3 linked regions of the Nothobranchius furzeri genome follow. The protein of the gene in region 1 interacts with the protein of each later gene in a biochemical or structural test. Links are inferred from orthologs where the notes say so. Each region holds a gene or a part of one and is shown on either strand. Other genes may lie near its edges. The genes, in order: anapc2, pttg1 and ube2s.

What was found.
Region 2: the proteins of anapc2 (region 1) and pttg1 form a complex in vitro, tested with the Homo sapiens proteins (2 studies listed by BioGRID, with this or other methods). The link is inferred for Nothobranchius furzeri from reciprocal best matches to the Homo sapiens genes ANAPC2 and PTTG1.
Region 3: the proteins of anapc2 (region 1) and ube2s form a complex in vitro, tested with the Homo sapiens proteins (3 studies listed by BioGRID and IntAct). The link is inferred for Nothobranchius furzeri from reciprocal best matches to the Homo sapiens genes ANAPC2 and UBE2S.

The regions. Positions count from the first base shown.
Region 1 is NC_091745.1:17,481,292-17,485,444, forward strand, and holds the start of anapc2 (anaphase-promoting complex subunit 2), read left to right. Parts: upstream 1-1,353; 5' UTR 1,354-1,536; coding exon 1,537-1,635; intron 1,636-2,158; coding exon 2,159-2,408; intron 2,409-2,577; coding exon 2,578-2,899; intron 2,900-2,977; coding exon 2,978-3,110; intron 3,111-3,175; coding exon 3,176-3,395; intron 3,396-4,153. Other genes in the region: E3 ubiquitin-protein ligase RNF25, read right to left, coding at 407-478, 693-805. UniProt on the Homo sapiens protein: Together with the RING-H2 protein ANAPC11, constitutes the catalytic component of the anaphase promoting complex/cyclosome (APC/C), a cell cycle-regulated E3 ubiquitin ligase that controls progression through mitosis and the G1 phase of the cell cycle.
Region 2 is NC_091741.1:85,723,802-85,731,839, reverse strand, and holds pttg1 (securin), read left to right. Parts: upstream 1-3,022; 5' UTR 3,023-3,121; intron 3,122-3,661; 5' UTR 3,662-3,667; coding exon 3,668-3,752; intron 3,753-3,831; coding exon 3,832-3,965; intron 3,966-4,485; coding exon 4,486-4,567; intron 4,568-4,994; coding exon 4,995-5,159; intron 5,160-7,276; coding exon 7,277-7,356; 3' UTR 7,357-7,419; downstream 7,420-8,038. Other genes in the region: septin6 (septin-6), read right to left, coding at 761-875, 2,454-2,483; sowahd (ankyrin repeat domain-containing protein SOWAHC), read left to right, coding at 7,869-8,038. UniProt on the Homo sapiens protein: Regulatory protein, which plays a central role in chromosome stability, in the p53/TP53 pathway, and DNA repair. Probably acts by blocking the action of key proteins.
Region 3 is NC_091745.1:76,822,781-76,830,667, forward strand, and holds the start of ube2s (ubiquitin-conjugating enzyme E2 S), read left to right. Parts: upstream 1-3,627; 5' UTR 3,628-3,802; coding exon 3,803-3,805; intron 3,806-4,737; coding exon 4,738-4,885; intron 4,886-7,437; coding exon 7,438-7,628; intron 7,629-7,709; coding exon 7,710-7,887. Other genes in the region: josd2 (josephin-2), read right to left, coding at 1,926-2,048, 2,130-2,172, 2,245-2,383. UniProt on the Homo sapiens protein: Accepts ubiquitin from the E1 complex and catalyzes its covalent attachment to other proteins. Catalyzes 'Lys-11'-linked polyubiquitination.

The sequences.
Region 1 (4,153 bases):
GCCCCACCAAATTAAAATATGTTTCTAGACATTTCTGCTTAGGACCAAATGAGAACCACTATTGTCTACTCAGTTTAATGAATACACTGGCTGCACTTTCCAATTCATCACTCAGTCATTTCCTGGAAAAATAGATACTATTATGTTTGTTTTGATTGCTAATAATTTTTTATACAGATGCATTTAATTCTGGTTGACTGTCATTAAATTAAACCCATGGTAAGAGTTAAAAAATATATATACATATATATAACATAATCAGCTGAGTTTTTTCCCATCAAATAGATTTGGGAGACATTCTTATCCCTTTGTTGCAAATATTTAACGTCTTCATATCATTATTTGCTCACATATAACCCAACCAGTGATTTATAACACAAAGATGTTCTGAAATGAGCAGATTTACCCCTCGTCCCTTCTGTCCACCTTCAGCTCGTCCAGATAGATGGACTGCAGAACCTCGATCTCAGACTGAACACTGTAAACAAAAACGGTTTTCGGCTTATTTACTGTTTTTAGCCTGGCCCTTTTGACGTAACCTGTTAGCTTCCCCTTCAGCTAGCTACAACACCTACGACATTTCATCCGATTGTACCGAGAACAGCAAACCTTAATGTGCGGGAGCGTGCGGGTAAAATTCAAAGCGTGTCATGAATATTTTGAAGGAATTTTTGCCATATCAACAAACTCACTCGTACTCGGTTGCCATGATGATGTCTCTGCTGCTAGCTGCTGCTAAGGCGGATACGGTTTTCACACAACCTGTCAAAATAAGAGACACGACGGCGTTTAAAAGACATGTCATGATCCAGTTTTTAAAAATGTTTATTTATTTATTTATTATTTATAGCTGTATTTGTGTGCATTAAGCATCTATGGTCTAAGGAGCTTTGTCTTCAAGCAACTCAAAGAAGTCCAGACGCTTTTCTTTCAAAGCTCCTTAGACTACAATGACCTGGATGACTGAGAACCTTCACAGACATTAAGCATCTATATTACTCTCTAAGATATGTCGAAATATTTATTGATATTAACATCCGTTTCGAAAGATTTTATTTAAATTTTATACAAAAATAAGTACAGTTTCATAACATTTGGCCTTTACTGACACCTGGTGGAGTTTGTATAAGCAATTTTGAAATGTTTTATTTTGTAGTTCAGTTCTGTCAACTTGTGTCTGTGGCCGGCTGTAGTGATTATTCTAACCGCTAGAGGGGGCGAGTAAACATTAAAACCGATTCAAACTCAACAAATACTTTTTACGGACGGTACCTGCAGGGGGCAGTGTCCACCCCTGTAGCATGTAAGTGATAAAAAAAAGTAGAAGAAGTCAACCCGCCATACCATGTTCATATCTGTATTGTAAATTACTATTTGCTTGAATGGAAAAGTTATTATTTAGTAAACTCGTTGAAACACGGTTGAGACACGGGGCATGCTTTTTACACATAGCGCCGCGGTAAGACAAGACATGCTGAGGTTTAAATGCTGAATCTACAGGAGCCGGTTCGGCATTTGTGAAGAAAGTGTCATAAAATGGAGGAAATGATGATGGAATCGGATTCGGTGGAAATGTCTGAGCCCGGAGCGCTCCAGGGGCTCGCTGAGGCGTGGGAATCCGTGACTGCAGCTTTGGTGAGTGGGTCAGAGCCTCGGACACGAGCAACCAAACACTGAATGAAGTGCTGTCACAAGACTCCATTCGTAAATCACACGATTGAATGATGTTTTGGATTTTACATTGGTTTATTAAGGGCTAGACACAAAACTGGCGTTATAAATAGTCAGCAGGAGTATTCGGTGGATTTCGGCTTACATTTGTTGACGTCATCGTGTTTACTGACAACTTTACTCCATGCAAAGAAAAATGGGTTGACTACTAACAACTCAATATTCATAAGTTTGAGTCAGCCATTTAGTTAAAAACAAACACAAATGACATGTCGAAAAAGGCTTATATTAAACACCTATATTATAATAAAATGTGTATTTTATGTTGGAAATGATTTTGCTCTTTTACTCAGTTCTGATTCCATCTCTCATCCATTCCTACATTAACCACCTGCCCCTGAATACCAGACATCCAGCAGCCCTTTTCTGGTTGGAGATGATTCTGTGGTGGATTTCATACCACCATTCTGTTTGGGTCCTTCTCTAGGTGTCTTCTGGATGCCCGGTGTCTGACCAGAGCCTCTCTGACTCCTTGCTTCTGCTCTGCAGTCATGGTTTGGGCCGACTGCTCGGGATCTGGCTGCTGGAAACTTTGCAGATGCGCCTGTCGTCCTCGGTGGTTCCAGAGTTCTGGTCTTGCCTGAAACAGCCGGAGAACGAGCTGGAGGAAAAAGATCGAGCATGGGTTCTCCTCACTGCTTTTAGGACTCTGTTGGACCGCCTGGAACCTTTTCTGAGCAAGTAGAACAAATACAGTAGTGATGACCTTGTCCTTGAATCTTTAAGATTTTATTCCAACTTCTAAAGTTGTTTGGATTTTTTTTGCTTTCCAGACTTTCACTATATTATTTTGTGGATAAAACCAAAGAGGAACAGGTAATTAGTTTCCCATCTCCCTCCATGCAGGTGGTTTGGAGAAGCTTGGGGCGTGGCAGGATGAGGGTCGTGGTGGTCTGTGTGGTCCAGGTCCCAGTGGCCTCCAGGAGCGAGCCTTCACCACCATCAGAGCCCTCCTGCTGTTCTCTCCTCCCCCCATTCTGCAGGAGCGAGTGCTGGAGTTTTACAGCAGGACTTTCTCCGTCTACATGAAACTGGAGGGCAGCGATGAGGATGTGGCCGAGGCTCCAGACAGCCCCAGTGGAGGGTCCTGCCCAGGGTGTGGGGTCCCGGTCCTGAGGTGCTGGTGTCAGGAGGCCCTGGAGCAGCTGCAGGAGCTCAGCCACATACTGTGAGAGGATCTCACTGCTGATTGTTTCTGCTGTTGCTTCGTCCGGATGAATGTTTGATCAGCTGTTTGTGTTTGTAGACTGAAGCTACAGCTGCTGGAGTGGGTCAGCTCAGAGGCCATCACCTGCATCCTCCACAAGCTCATCGAGCAGCGGATGGAGCAGCATTGCCGGGGCGAGTACGAGCGCTCCTTCTTGCTGGACTTCCAGGAGGTAAAACCCCTTTTCCACCGTTTCCTCTCCTGTCTTCATGTTCTGACGCTCTTCTGTCCCTGCAGTGGCTGGAGCTGGTTCTTGGCTGGCTGAGCAAAGTGTTCGCCAGTGAGGTGGACGGAGCCACTCCTGTTCCTGCTGCTCCCAGTGGTCCCATTCAGTCCAGCATCCAGGGCACCCAGCCTGCCAGCTCCATCATGAAGCAGTGGAGATGCCACATGCATCAGTTCTTCTGCAGGATCTACGTCAACATGAGGATCGAAGAGCTCTTCAGCATCATCCGAGGTGAGACCTGAGGAGAGGAGGTCATGTTTTATCTTCATTATGTGGCTGATGCAGTGATGGTTTGTTTGTGTTTATAAATAAGGTCAGAACGTTAAACCTGCTTTCTGAGGCTTTGTGTTTAACGTTATCAGAGATCTTCTGTGTTTCATCAGAGCAACAAGCAACCATCTGGTCATTTAGAGATAATTTAAAATGTTTAAATTTTTATTGTTTTAAATTAAAGGGACTGTACGGAAGTGTGACAGCCAAAACATGTATAGAAATAATAAATGTCTTCTTCATACATTCTCCTGCAATGCCCTGGTCCTGTAGAATGAGCCCTGGCATTTTTACTGTGATTGCCTGTTTTTCTGTAAAATCACAGAAAAAGAGAGATGCTCGGGTCGAGCAGGCTGCTTCATGCGCGTTCACGCTCAGGCATAGCCCGTAGCATTTGCTATCCGTAGCTTTAGCAGCAGAGAGAGAGGCAGTGCCAACTTCCTAACGCCTAGTAACAAACCTAGCTATATTTCTGAGGACCCTTAGCTACTTTCTGTAGAACTTTCTTCTAGATATTTCCTGCAAATTAGCAACAAAATAGCCATTTTCGCTTCGAACCGTTCTTTGAACGTTTCAGCTGTCATCAAGGATATAAAAGTTATAGATACTGTGAATGTTACTAGAGTGTAGCTCACCTTGTAAGATGTCTGACTCTCATGCAGAAGACCCGGGTTAGATTCTGGATGTGAACATAGTTTATTTAGAGTTTATTTTTTACA
Region 2 (8,038 bases), on another chromosome or scaffold:
CTGAGAAAAGTGTATTTATTAATACTTTTGTGTGCTGATGTGCACAGAACTAGGTTATATCTTATTCTTCAGCAGAAAAAAGCAACATAGTCCTAAACAACTCAAAGCAGGACAAAAGTCTATTGTTTTCTGGACATTTGACAGGTCCCAGACAGGAAAACACATTAAAGGGAACTTTACAGATTTCACACGGTGACGGTGGCACAGGTTAGGTGCTCGCCCCGTAATTGGAAGGTTGCAGGTTTGAGCCCTGCTCAGTTTGTCACTGCCATTGTGTCATTGGGCAAGACCCTTAACCCCCCTTGCCTGATTGTGGTGGTCGGAGGGGCCGGTGGCGCCAGTGCTCAGCAGCCTCGCTTCTGTCGGAGTGCCCCAGGGCAGCTGTGGCTACATCGTAGCTCATCTCCACCTGGGTGTGAATGGGTGAATGACTGATTGTGTTGTAAAGCGCCTCGTGTGTGTGTGTGTGTGTGTGTGGTGGTGGTGGTGGGGGGGGGGGGGGGGTCCAGGAATCTAAAAGGCCCTATATCAAATACAGGCCATGCACCATTCAGTGTGCAGAAGATCCAAAAAACAAGACTGCCTGAGTTATGATGTGTGTGTGTTTCCTACTTCCTATAAAAACCAGGAGCATCTTCCTCATACTGGTAAACTGAACCTATAAATGAATTTCATTGATCTGTGTTTTACCACATGAAGGTGCTGCGTGGAAATAAAATCACCAAGTTTTGAACTCCATGCTGATGGTCTTTACACTTACCAACGCAGAGGATGTTAAAGCAGAAGCCACGGTTGACAGACTTGTTGACCAACTGGTCAGGCATGCTATCAAAACCAACATGGCCGGCCAGAGGCACAGCCCGAACTCCTTCACCCTGAAAAACAAAAGAAATCAACAACAACTATCAGTTAATTGGTCTCTTTACAATGATAGGTTTTGTCTGGGTGCAATTTCAGAACAAGATTAAGACGCACTTAAAAAAAGCCCCATGATGGAGCCATGTTTTCCACCAGAGATTGTTAAGAGAATAAGCCTGAGTTCAGGTGAAGTCATTCACTTCCTGTTTTCTCAGCAGCAGCTCTCTTCCGTCAGACGGTTCAAAACCACTGTGTACATATATGGAAAGACACTGCTGTTCATGTCTAGATAAGAAAGATCCAAGCAAATGTAATAAAAACTCATTTAATGATGATTAAAAGCTTAAGAGCCAGCTCTGTGACTGGGATTAGATGAATCTTCCGCTATACTTTTAAACACACACATCAAAAATAAAAAAAAGGGTCAACGTGCTGCTGTTAAAAGTGTGTGGGGGTGTTTAGCTGGTAGTAAGCATCCCGATCGCTGTGATTCTCGTTTCTACTGCCTACATTTATATCAAGAGCTACAGGGAAGCAAAGAATTTACGTTGGATGCCAGAAGCAAAAGCTCTCCACCAGCTGAACCTCAGACAACCGGCTATTATGTGGCTTAGCATAACAGTGTTGTTGTCCAATTTGACAAAGACTTTGAGCGAAAAATACTCTGTAAATTTAAAATACCCAAACATTCTGGTGTCACTGAACAGTCGTGGAATATTCTGAAGCTGGGTTTGAACAGCTGAGGACCTGAAGAAATCTGGGACTAATGTAACTGAACAAACAGCCTGTTTAATGTTGAGAATGCAAGCACAACATTCCTGAAATCATCCTCGCTTTTCATGACGCTCACAGCCAAGAAGCACACAGCCGGTTTCATTCATTGAGCCACAATGGGGTATCAAACTGCACTATCTTGCTATTCTAAGAACTCCCTCTGGGTTAAGTGGCTTCCTTTCCCCACTTAAAAAACAAGCTTGGATAACAAGGAGTGTGTAAAATCCCCTTTCCTCTCCAAAACAAGTCTTGAACTCTTGTCTTTGTTTTGCAAGCAATCAAGACAACGCCTGTGTGAAAGTTAACGGGTTCCTAAATAAAACACGGTAACGGAAATGAGCACCGAGGTTGTGCTGAAACGGGGGCTTTCAGAATGAATGGCCTACCGATCGATCTGTGTGGATCCGTCATTTTTAACGATCCAGCACCTACTAAACTCAATTAAACATTTAAAATCACACAATGTGCCATTTCGCCATGCATTTGTTTCAAATAAACACCACATGAAATCTAAGGGCATTTGCAAATGCAATGCTAAAGCTGTTTCACCGGAAAGGTAAATGCACGAGGTGATGCGCCTTGATTTAACATCATCAGACGAAGAGCATTTTAGATGCATAATTTGTTATCTAAAAACACGATTTATTATAAACAGACTCTAAATTAGCAACGCAATGGTGAATTTCGAATGTGAACACGGGTGTTAGCAAGCTAACCGACTCCAAAATAACCCGTTACACAAATAAGTTGAAACGATTCCCAGCATATCGAAGATGTAATAAATGCATACAATGGATTTTAGAGTCAAACAGACTACTTACGGCTTGCCTTGCTATCTCAGTTGACGCCATGGTGAGTGTTAGTAGCCGGAGGACGAACCCACTGTCGCTCTGACTTCAGCAAAGGAAGCTGCGCCGCTACGCTGAAACCTGGCCTGCTTGAAATGTACCATTTTATCAAAGTATGTCGCATTTCTTATAAAGGTAGTAGCTGAACTTCCAATGACAATACATATGTATCTGTTAAAACCGATGACTTCTATTAACAGAAGCGGCTTCTAAATGATGGCAGAAGACATAAAATAACACATAAAGAAAGTCCCCCATCGAATGCTTTAATGGTTTCGTCTGATATGAATGGTAGTGAGCAGATGTGATGTAACTTGATAAAATAAAGAAGCACACAGACACACATAACATCCTGAAACAAATTAGTTTAGTTTATAGTAGTGGCCGACAATTTTGTAAAGCATGTGTAGCCATGAGCGTAAATAAATCAGGTGTTACGACTCACAATTAATCTTCAATGCTAACAACACTTAGTAGGCGACGCCTATTTTAGTCACGTGCGTGATATTGGCCAATAGGAAGGATGCCGTGAATTTAAAATTGGCTCGCGGTCGTTCGTTCGTACACAGTTTCTTAACCTCAACCGAGTGAGCAGCACGGTCAGGTCGAGTCTACTGAGTTAGAGGTTGTGTTTCGTAGAGGTGAGTTATCAAAGAGAGCAGTTCAAGTTAAATTTATAGTTTATTTTCTTTGAATGGGTCAAGATAATATCCATAAACCCGCGAACGATTAAGACGTTATACAGCGCTAGCATATAAGCTAACATTTGATTGTTTTGTTTTTTTAAATATCTGTTTAGCGGTCAAAAAACCGTTGTTAACGTTTGTATGTCAGTGTTCGGGAAAAGTTTAAAAAATAAACACTTGTCAAAAATTTCTGATAGGTTTGATTGGTACTCAGGTGATCTGTTTTCAGTAAATAAAGGTGACTAACTTGAAATAAAATGTATATTTTGGGATTGGATAAGTGTTCTATAAAATAATTGCTAAAGGCTTCAAACTAGATATTTAAAGTAGTTTAAAACAAATAAGCTTGTATTAAATTAATTTAGGATTTGGCTAAATCTGTTTTGCCTTTTTCCCCCACTGCTGAAAGTTTACAAAGCTCACTTTTAGCTTTGCTGTTTTGAAAAACGTTTTTGCATTTTGGTGCAGAATATAACGTTTGCATGTGTTTGTCAGATAAAAATGGCAAACATCCTTGCAGAGCAAGAAAATGCTGGTCTTCATGTGCCTTCGCTGAAGATGCGACAGCGACTTCAGTCTGCTCCAGGTATTCTGAACTGAATATTTTTCCTATGTTAGCAGGTGATGTTGGATGTGAGTTCACATTTTTTTTATTTTTCTACCAGAGAAACTTCTGAATTCAGAGGCAGCTAAATCTGTTAAAACACCTCTGCCATTTGGTCGTAAAGCTTTTGGAGCTGTGAACAAGGTTTTGACCCCAGCAGTCTCTGCACAGGAGAAGACTCTATTGAAGCCACAGGTTGGGTTCTGGACAGTCTTCAGTTCACGCATAAAAAAATATTTTGACAAAGTATTATTTGCATCTTTTTGTATGAAGTTCAAATCACAGCTAAGATGCCATACTAAACTAAAAGTTCAGGGGTCTAATTTATCAAATATTGCGTAGAATCCTTAATAAAACTGTACTTAAGCTCAGCAAAAAAAATGTACTTGTTGCTTATTCTGTGTGAGCACAAAGTGGTACAAGTGATAATGCTGCTGGAATTAATAATTTTATCATTCTCAGCAGCAGCACTGCAGGTGCTCTCCATGTCCAGAATGTGCGTAAGCAAGGTCCTTGGTCAACTTAAAGTTGTGCACATTTTTCCGCTAAGTTCTTTCATAAATCCCAAAGTTTGCGTGGAAAGTTGCTTACGCAGTTTTCCGACCCCGTTTTGTGCGTAAGCAAGCTTGATAAATGAGGCCCCAGATCTTTGCCATCCATTTCTCTTTACCTTGTTGTACCAAGTCAATGTTTTGTTTTGTTTTTGTTTCAATAGGAAAACAAAGTCGAGCCTGCTCCTCAAACCAAAATTGAGGAATATCCAGAAATTGAGAAGTTTATCCCGTATGACCCCTTGGGTAAATTGAGTTTGACTTTTATTCAGTTGCCTAAAACAATACATTTCAGTGAAGTCGATACTTATTTCCCCCTCAATTGCAAACTATTATACACACAGTGTATAATAGTTTGCAAAAGATGGCTGATGTAGAAATATCAAGCTTCTAGGTACGAGTTCCCCGCATTGTTGCCACTAAATAAAAATTCCTGCTCAAAATAATTGCTCAGATTTTTAGTTTACAAACTCAATAGATTTCCACCAGCATCTGACTTAAGCTGGTCATTATTAAAGTTGAGCATCTATACACTGCAAAAGAGGCTCCAACACACGTGATCTAATTTCCTTCCTATAGAAACTTTAGACAAGTTTAATGTTCTATATTGCTTTGTCTTGTGCTCGGAGGACTGTTTTCTGCATGTTTTAAACAAGGTTCTAATGTTTCCCAGAGTTTGAGAGGTACAGCGTCCCTGAGGACTTGATCCCTCTTAGCTGCTTGGCACTTCCTGGTTTGGCCTGTTTTCCCACAACTCTTTCTAAGCTGTGTGAGGAGGATTTGACAGAGATGGCTCCACTTCCAGACTTGTCACCCATAAAGATGCCAAAATATTCAGGTATGCACTTAATATTTACTCTTAACTGTTTGCATTTATGCTTCATAGTTACTAAGTTGATTTCTAACTCAACTTTCTAAAAGGCAGACCACTGATGATGGCTTAGCCCACCTGATAGAAACTCTTGACTTTAAATGTCTGAATATGACTCTTTAATTCCTGAACTGTTCATCTTCCCTCGTGGCATAATGATGGATAATCTGGCAATTTTGTGAAACTCTTTCAAACAATGATTGTCGAGCTAAGCATTAACAGACAACATACTCTAATGGTAACTGTCTTCCTTGAGGGCCAGTATCCAGCATGTTTTAGTTGTTTCCCTGTTCCAACACATGATTTTAATCAGCAGGAGCTTGGTGAGCTGCTGAACAAGTGAATCAACAAAAACATGAGTGGTAGTACTCTGGGACCAGGCTTGCCTACGCCTGCTCTCATTCAACACACTTCAATCACCTGTCATCAAGCTCTGCAGAAGCCTGTTAATCACCTGCTGATTAAAATCAGGCACATTGAAGCAGGGAAACTAGTAAAACGTACCGGCCCACGGGGAAGGGAGTTTGGATCACTGATATGCATCCCAGTGTTTCCCTTACATAGGCGTAGCCGTGGCGGCCCACCATGGCTAAAATCCCACTGCCACGCCTACAAGGTCCCAAGTTTTATTTCTTTATTTATTTTTTGCGCCGTTTCCCGAAGAAGCAGCAGGAACTACTGTGTTGTTGCTTGTGATCACAGCTGGCAGGCAGCAAGGAGGAGGCAGGGTGGTTACAGCTAGGGATGAGTGTACGGATAAAGCATTTTTGACTAATACGAGTGTAAAACTCGTAAATATCTGTAATCGTGCTGAAGGAAAATCCTCATTGGGTAACTGTCTTTACGCTCTGTGGTTGGCCAGACACATAGAGCGCCCGCCCCTCCCTACACACAACTCTGCAGCTGAGACGGGAGCTCAGTCCGCTCGGCCCAGGCATCCACGCACACACAGACCGTAACGGATCTGTGCTTGCTTCACTGTTGTTCACGTTTCTTCGGTACTCCTTAGGTTTTCTTCAGCTCGCCTCTTTCAGTTCAATATTTAAATTTACTTTTTTCGTAACTTACATGGTGCATTTGACAAGACGGAGCGAAAAACTGCTCGTGCATGCGTTGGTCACTGCCTCTGCTCCGGTCAGGTTTTTTAAATTTATATTTACACTCTTCTCCCTCTCTCACACACCTTGATCAACATTGTTTTGTTTAACTGTGTATAGGGAAAAATGCCAACAATGTTGGGAAACAAATCAGTTTAATCAAATTAAAATTTAAAAAAGTTGTGTCTGGTTCTAGTATTTCATATATCCTAGTTCCTACTGCATGAGTTCAGATGTATTAATTCATGCACTTGAATAATATTCTGATTTTACTGAAACTGGTTCTGTAATAGTTCCTTTACTATTGTGATCAAAAATATTTAATCTCAATTCTGAGGCTGCTCTGTAAATAGTTTTAAAATAAACACACATAGCAACTTCTGATCAATCCATATCAATTTCAGACTTAAAATAATGTATTGATGTAAACCACACACACTAATTTCCAAATAAGATGCATTAATCTGTATCTCCTTTGATCTGCATTAGTGATATTTTTAGCACCAGAACAGTGAAGCAAAGAAACAGATTCCTGAGTTTGTTAGTAATTTTATTTATTAGGTGCATCTGACCTGTTCTATTCTCTGAAATGAGATAAAATCAGTGCTTCTATGGGTTGTCTCCTCTCTGCACTAGAAACATGTACTTTATTTTAATGTTCACTGTAATGCATCTTGATCTTAACAAATGAATAACATCAAAGATATTGGTCAAGGCCAAATATGTAAATTTGTTTCGGTCATTGAAAGCACATGAAACTATGAATTCACCACAGATTATTGGCCAGCTGAGATGGATCATCTGAGTCATAAAAGCAGAACCTTTGAACAGGGTAATCTGTGGCTGTGAGGTAAATGTTGGGTGTAGCTTTGTGATTTAAGACTTATTTAAATCAGTGTGTAGCACTCTGTAATGATAGATGTGTGCAGTAGCTAATTGAAGCCTGAGTCTGGAGCACATCATTAACCATACTGTCTTCATTTTCAGATGAGCGTTTGGAGCTGGAGGATTTCCTACAAACACTTGATGAGCTGACAGAGCTTCCTCCAGAGCCTGTTGACTTTTAGTGTGTTTTGTTTTTTTTGGTGTGTTTGTCATTTTATTCAAATAAAGTTGTTTTACCTACTGTTCCTAATCTGCCATGCATCACTTAATGATTAGCAAACTGGGTATCGCGACTTCCTGCTTTAAAGTCCATCAGAGGTCACATGAGGATTATCATGGCCCTTTGTGCGAACAGAATGAACCTTGTCTCAGTTCCTCTTAAAAGTTGAATCTGCTTTACAAACAAAACTGAAAGCGTTCAGTTTAGCAAACCTGATTTAGGTCTTGATTGGTGTAATCAGACCTGACCTGAGCTTTGGGCACAGCAGGTGAGTTAACGTGGCGGCTGGTTGGAGGAAACGGTGGTTTCAGGTTAGTCTTTATGGGTTTAAAATGTTCCTAAACGTGTGGAATTGTGTCTTTAACACAGGAAATGAGAACAGTAGAACAGACGGGTCTTGCGCAAGTTTAAACCCAAAGACATCTTCAGGGTGTTTTAACTAAAGGAAATAGCCCCGAGCTGTGGGGGAGCAGCATGTACAGGAGAGGATCCGAGCCAGCTGTCAGCATGAATACCGACGCCCACGACAGCAGGGCATTCAGAAGGACCTCCGTTGTGGAGCGGGTGGCGAGGTACGGCATGCCGGTCATGCCCGGAGCTCTCCAGCGTAGGTCGAGACTGCAGAGGCAGCAGGAAGACGGCTC
Region 3 (7,887 bases), about 59 Mb from region 1:
CTACATTTAAATGAAATTCAGCAACAGCACCGGACTCCCCAAGGATGTGCCAGACTTTAAATCTGCTTTACTAATAACAAATATCGGCGAATGCTGATATATATAAAATTAAAAAGAACGGTAAATATCGGTCTCTACTCCTATTTTCTTTAACAGTTTTGAATTTTTAATACTTGATCAGATAAGTAATTTGTTTGATTGACTTTGGTTAGACGTCTGATTTTAACACTGAGCCGTGCACAAAATTCATTTTTAACACTTGCTTAAATTCAGTGTTCAAAAACTGATTCAGCGTCACAAATTTTGTGCATCAAATGATGTCATTAGTGACATCTGAGAATGAAAAAAATGTTGGAAAACATCTAGATATCGGCCCAAAAAATTGGCAGTACTTATTGGCCATTGGCTGACCATGATCTCTACAAATCAGCAACAGATAAACCAATACTGGTCGACCTCTACTAAAATCCTCTCAATGCGTGTTTGTTTACTGGTGCATTGGCTGTTTGCTTGCCAAAAGCCGCTACGATTATGACTCGATGGCTCGTGTTTTAATTAGGTTAATGGCAGACAATGTAAAGAGTGGCCTCTTTAAAAACAAAGCCCATATCTGTACGAAACAGCACCGCTGCTGTTTCCCCTCCAGGTTACTCTTGTTTTTCACAACAGTGATTTTTTATGTGATGCAGCAAATCCGTTTAAGTCTGCTTCAAGCTCGTGGAAGCCTGAATGGCATTTACAACAGTTTTAGGCCAATTTTTTTGTTTTTATCAAATTTTCTTGCCTGAAATTAATCATCCTGTAGGTCAAACCCCCTAAAATAACTAGTTGGATTAATAAAAGCTCACAGAAAACGTGTTTTCATAGCGACAGCCAGTCTGTGATAAGACTGGTAGCGCAGATTTAAAGCAAGGCACATCCGTGGGCAGCCCCGTGCTGCTGTCAAATTTCATCTAAATCTATACTTACGTTCCTGAAAAACACCAACTTTATAAATGCTCTAAAGCATTATCGTCAAACGGCAATATTTTTAAATTTATTTACCTGTTTTGTAGTTTAATTTGTTTATTTGTTTGATTAACTTTGGTTAATAGCTTGAGTTTAACTCATTCACTGCCAATGACGACTAAAGTCATCATTTTAGATCCAACCGTTTACTGCAAATGACGACTTTAGTCTTCATTTGCATTATTTTACTGTTTGAGCATCGGAACGAGCCCCAGCGCTGAGAGAACAAACATTTAAGCCCTGAAGCCGATCTTCATCCGCATACGTCACACGTCACGTGATCAGGAAGCAGAAAATCTATGTGTTAGGAGATCGTTTAGGCCTGTTCCTGTAAAAAAAAGTGAGGCGCGAACCGGAAAAGCGTCTGCCGATCATAATTCAACAACGGATTATGAAAGAACGGATAACGCTCGAAACACGCGGATTCTTCCCGATGTAAGAGGTGAGTCTCCTCTTTGTTTTGGCGTCGACATCATCCTAGCGCGCAATGTTCTGTGACTCTTAAAAAAAACAGTAAAAAACGGTGAGAAACGCTGGCAGCGAAGTCCGTTAGCGATCAGGAAACGGCTGGCATTGAATGAGTTAATACTTGGCAATGCACAAAATTAATAATCATGAGTCGGTTAAACTCTGTTCAGAGAGTAGCTCAGAAATGTTGAGCACCTATTGTTTGAAAATGACATTTTAACATCGAGACAAGTCCGAAAACATCTAAATATCGGTATCAGTTGGAGAAACCCACATCGGTCGATCTTTAACCAGAATCTTGGTTCTACCTTTTGAGTTATTGGTGGAAAGAGAGATTTACAGTAAAAGTCGACTGAAGTACAAGAAAACCCATCTTTTCTCTGTTTCTGGAGCTAAGAGGAGCAGCTGACTGTTGCGTCTCCAGCAAACACGCTGGAACATTCCCATACCGTTTACAGATGTCATCGGCGGTCTCCTTGGTAAACACTCGCTCCTGGAGCACGTTGTTGAGTGCGTGAATCGCACACAGCTCCAAGCGTTGCTTCTCGTGAAACACTTCTCCTTCGTTCATACTTCAAAACAGAATAAGTACCGTTGTCGATCAAAATAAACATCATTACAGGCAACCATGCCGCTAGTTAGTATCTGCTTACTCACTCGTCCCTGTGCCTCCCAATGATTCTTCTCTCTGTTTGGCTGCCGATGGTTAGAAAAAGAGCGGCACGGTGACCTGTTAATAATCAACAACAGCCAAATAAAGCCACCGACCTGCTGATGAAGCAAGTCCCCGAAACGATGCTGGAGTCTGGTGGCTACATCCAGAAACCGGAAGTAGCGCCCTTGTTGTGTTGTGTTGTTGATTAGATGACTTCACATATGCATCCAGTCTTAAATAAGTAAACAACATGCGTAGATTAGATTCCGTTTAACCTATGAGAACCGAAAATAACGTAAAATTAGCGGTGCAAACATCTTATTTTATGGGTTTCAAACGAGAAGTGCTAACGTATTCCAACGGGTTGAAATAAACGGTGACGTTGTGCTACAGCGCCCTCTAGTGGTCATGATTAGAAACGGGCGCATTACTAGAGGTGGTGATAAAATATTACAAATGTGGTCCTGGCTCATAAAAAACACCCTAACTACACATAACTGCGTGTTAATCCGCCACATAACTACACTCTTATGAATCGCACACAGTACAGTTTTCATTGGCGTGTTTTGTATTGAATGAGCTTCAACTCTTCCTGATTAGATTTAACACATGACTGTTGTTTTTCAGTGATTGTAGAGCACTGAACCATGATTAGAATGATGAACAACACATTTGAACTATTAGATTATCCAATTGAAAATTATGGATTGGCAGTATCTTTGGTTTTCAAAAACAAAAACGTTCTCCTTCATAAGTAATATAAATGTCAGCGACAACATATGTGTAATGACACGAAATCAATAGAATACATTACATTTTCAAAAGTAAAAATTATCACTCTCTGTTACTTTTATGTATAACAACTTCTTTAATGTATTTTACAACACTTTTATTGTATTTATCATTTATGCATTTTATCTTATTTTATTCTAGATAAGCATCTATCTATCTATCTATCTATCTATCTATCTATCTATCTATCTATCTATCTATCTATCTATCTATCTATCTATCTATCTATCTATCTATCTATCTATCTAGCTGATATATTGGATATGACAATGAATATGTTAGTACTTATGTGAATAAAGAATAGTAAATGTATAGTTATCTGCCCCGAATGTAATGTCTAACTTAAAAAAACAGTTCGTGTTTTAATAATCAAACGTATTCTGATCATTAAAAAATTCGTGAAATCCACAAATCCTTTAGTAAATGTATTTGTTGCGTTCTGAACTAACAGGGAACCTTTTAACTCCACCTTCCCGGAGCACCGCCAGCGTGTGCTGACATAAAAGGGTGCCGATCCATTATTAATCAAGGGCGTGTTTTTTTTTCTTTTCAAAATGACCAATAGCTGATTGGTATCAGTCCTGTTTCGGCGCGGTTTGGCTGATTGTGCTCCTACTGATGACGTAACAGAAATACTCTATCTTGTTTGGCTGTAATCGTCTGACGCGTAATTTCACTAAAATGCCGATTGGTCAATGGCAGTAGCTTAAACTGAGAAACGTAATTTCGTTCCTGGGAAAAGAAGAAAACAAAAACAGTTAGACTGGACTAAGTTTTCAACCAAGATTGTATTTCTTTTCGAACTTTATTAGAAAACACGTTTTTTTTTATCTGACACCAGGCGGACATTTATCACCTCAACAGATCTCTTTTTCGAAGATGGTAAGACTTAGCATCATGCTAACAGCTAACGGTTGCCTAGCTTGAGTCGATGTTAAGTCGTCGAAACATTTTCTTTATTATTTGAGTTTTGACTATTTTATATGTATTCCGGTAGTTGTTGAGAAAAGAACCTTCATTTTAAAACCTATCCAACGTCTTTAGTATAACTAATATTGGAATAAAATAACAAGAAGCGTTGAGGTTACCTGCTTAAAGCTAGGCTTGTAATGCTAGCTGTAACATAAATGTACTTAAGTTCATTTGATCGTTAGCGGACATTACAAACATTTGACTTATCTAAAGGTGTAGTTTTAAAAGACGCGTTCATACTGAGCTTGCCCTAAACGTGTTGATTGCTGAATTTGAAGTAACATTTCCAGATACTCAACAAGATGCGAACTAATGTGCCTTTTTTTGTATGAATATTATGGAAATAAAATAATGTTTTGCGTAGAAAACTTTCCTCTTTTATCTCCGTGTGAGATAAATAGTTCCCCAGCGAGGTTGTAAAACTGTTTTATCTGATTTAAACGATCAAAAATGATAATAAATTGGCAGAAAGACTGGCAAATAGGTAGAAACTTTGACACAATGCATTATTTTCACTTTAAACATCTTCTGTACGTTCATTTTGTGTATCTTTTTAAATACAATACAATTATTAATATTACTAATATTGTTTAGTTTTTGTCTATGCATAATTTTAAGTGTAACTTCTGATATTTCGTGTTTATTTATTAAAAAATTCAAATTAGCAAAGCAAACAGTCATTTATGACGTGCATTATTGAGTTAAAGCCATTTTAACGTTGGCCATCAACAGTGTAAAGGTGAAATTTATATATTTTATTTAAAAATATTGTTTCATGTTTAGAAATTCAGTGTTCATACCGAAACTCTTTAGTGCTAAGTCGTTGCTCTGTCTCTCCTCAGAACTCTAATGTCGAGAATTTGCCCCCTCATGTTCTGCGTTTGGTCTACAAAGAGGTTTCCGCTTTAGCAGCAGACCCACCTGAGGGCATCAAGATTTATCCCAGTGAAGAAGACATAACTGAACTCCACACGTCCATTGAAGGACCAGGTAACAGTCAGGATGCAACAAAAACTAAACATCTGTTATTGTTAGTTTAGTTTGATTATCTTACACACTTCCCATTTCAGTTGGTTAAAGAGACAGTGTGTAGTTTTTACTAGGGATGCACGATATATCAGCATTAATATCAGTATCGGCCAATGTTAGTCATTTTTTAACATAGCGATATCAGTCCGACAAGTAAAACTGGGCCGGTATTAACAAACAATATTTTTTCCATCTTGTTTCTGTTTGTGTATCTGTTTCCGAGGGTAAGGGGGGTGATGATGTGTAATTGTTTAGTCCTGTGACAGTGAAGGTAACAGATAAATGTGTGTTTATATAATATATTGCCAATTCCACTTAACAGAAATGAAGCAAAACATTCAAAAATTCAGCTTGCATAATTTCAGTCTATACAAAAGTAGCTGATTTCAGAAGCATAAATCAGTATCGCAAACATCTGTTATCGGCCGTAACGGTGATATTAATATCGGTCCAAAAAATTCATATCGGTGCATCCCTAGTTTTTACTGTCAATCTCTGAAAAAATCCATCAAAACTTTATTGAAAATAAATAAAGTTATGTCCAGTCGTTGAAAAGTATTGGCGGCTTTGTACCACAAACCCATAAGGTAGTTCTCATAGGGTGCGGGTCTGGTGTTTATTGGGGACACCTTGTTTCCTTCTGGCTGGCTCGGCGTCCTGTGCCTGTTGATGACGTCACACTAGATGAATGGCTGACTCACAGAAGTTGCGTTACCACGTTCACAAGCATTTAGGTAGTAAGAAACACAAATTTAATAACAAAACTGCTAAACTCTTTCCAAAACATATGTGGAAGAACAGAATCGAAAAAGAGATGCAGTATATTTTGACCGCGCGGTATTGTCGTAGTATGGTGATGTCATCAGCAGGCGCAGGACACCGAGAAGATCCAGAAAGTACAGCGTAGGGCTGCTCAATTAATCGAATTTTAATCCCAATTACGATCTGAGTTTTGAACGATTATAAAAACAAGCCGATTATTTGCTCCTCCCACTTGCGCTGCCCTGAGTTGCAAATGAAGCGCTCCTCCGTGTTGCCAACTTATCGACTTTGACGCTATTTCTAGCAGCTTTTCAGACCCCCTTCTTGACTTTTTAAATCTTAAAAGTACCTAGCGAACACCTCAGAAACATCTCTGGTAACCCTTAGCTACTTTCTGGATAACTGTCGTCGACATTTCTGCAGGTTAGCTAAACACTCCGCCTGCGCTCCGGACCGTTCTTCAGGACATTAGGAAAGGGAATGATGTAGTGATGTGTCAGTCGCTAAAGAAACGGCTCTCGGAGTCGGCTCCTTGTTGGAGTAACTAGAGTGAGTGACACACACACCGCACCTGCGGGCTCCTGAGCCGCTAAAAATGGCTAAATGTGCGCGTGCGGCGCGCTAAACACACGTGCATCTTGCCCATGATTGCTGTGAGACCGGGTTGGGGGGTGGGGGGGTGCAGCTGTGGTTGGGACAATTATTACATTAACTGATGGACTTGTAAATAAATAGTTTATAAATAAGGTAGAAATAAGTTCCTCACACTGATAACTAATAACTAACCTCTCTGAGGACACGGTGCTAGTGCACTCTCCTACAGCACCTTGACACGACTAAATAAATGTTACGCAACATTTTGTGAACATCAATTTATTTGCATGTATTTGTTATAAATGCCGCTGTATAATTCTTGCTGTCAGTATTTGCAGGATATTGGTATTTGGGTCTGTACTGGTTAGACTTAAATGAGTTAAACCAAGGTCTATAGCCCTTGGGTCATAAACTATGAGCTATTTGGTCTTTTTATTCTGGGAATCAGGAGTTATTTTAGTGATCATCTTGTTTCTTTTTTATTTTTGTCCTGATTGTGCCCTGAGCAATTTTATGACTGATCAAAACAAATAAAATCAACATAAATTGAAAAATTGCCTTAAATAATCGAGATCTCGATTTCAGTCACAATAATCGTGATTTTTATTTTTGCCATAATCGAGCAGCCCTAGTACAGCACCAGGAAACTACACGTTGCATGCCTGTTATGGAGTTGAATGAGTCTGAGAAATCGTGCAGAGGTCGCTCGTTTTCGGCTCCACAGGGAACAACGTTTACCGTAATGTTTTAAACTAGCGTCACTGACAGTGATATGGTGTAAAACTACCCTGAAATGTATGTACTGCCCCCTAGTGGCAGGAGACAGCACACCGCCACTTTCTACCACTAGCTGGCTCCTGTTTGGCTTCATCTCCTCGTTTGGAAAGTGGCTCTTTTCTCCCACGAAGCACAAATAATGTTTCAGAACTCTAAAATCAGTGGTCTCCATGTTTTCATTCCTGCAAATATGCAGTCATTTACTCTTCTTATCTAATTACTTCTATTATAAATGTTTACATCTGTTTTTGTCCAGAAATCATGAAAATATTTGTTTTTCTCCTGAGCTGCAGATCCGTGATCCTGCCCTTTAATTTTAGTTTGGGCTTGGCTTACTCGGGCCACGCTGTTCGCGCAATGAATTCTTTATGCTTTGACAGAGGGAACTCCGTTTGCTGGTGGCATTTTCCGAATGCGTCTGGTCCTCGGGAAGGACTTCCCTGCTGTTCCGCCCAAGGGGTATTTCCTGACCAAGATTTTTCACCCCAACGTGGGTCACAAGGGAGAGATCTGTGTCAACGTGCTGAAGAGGGACTGGAAAGCAGAACTTGGCCTCAGACATGTCTTACTTGTAAGCTCGATTGTCAGTTTGTCCTTTTTCGGAGCATAATGCTCTCTGACACCATCTATCTCTTCCTTTTCCCTCCAATAGACCATCAAGTGTCTTCTCATCCATCCGAACCCCGAATCTGCTCTGAACGAAGAAGCGGGGCGCTTGCTTTTGGAGGATTACGCGGAATACGAGTCTCGAGCCCGTCTCCTGACAGAAATCCACGCTCTGGGTGCGTCCGGAGCGCCTCAGGACCCTAACGACGGCCCACAGCCGAAGA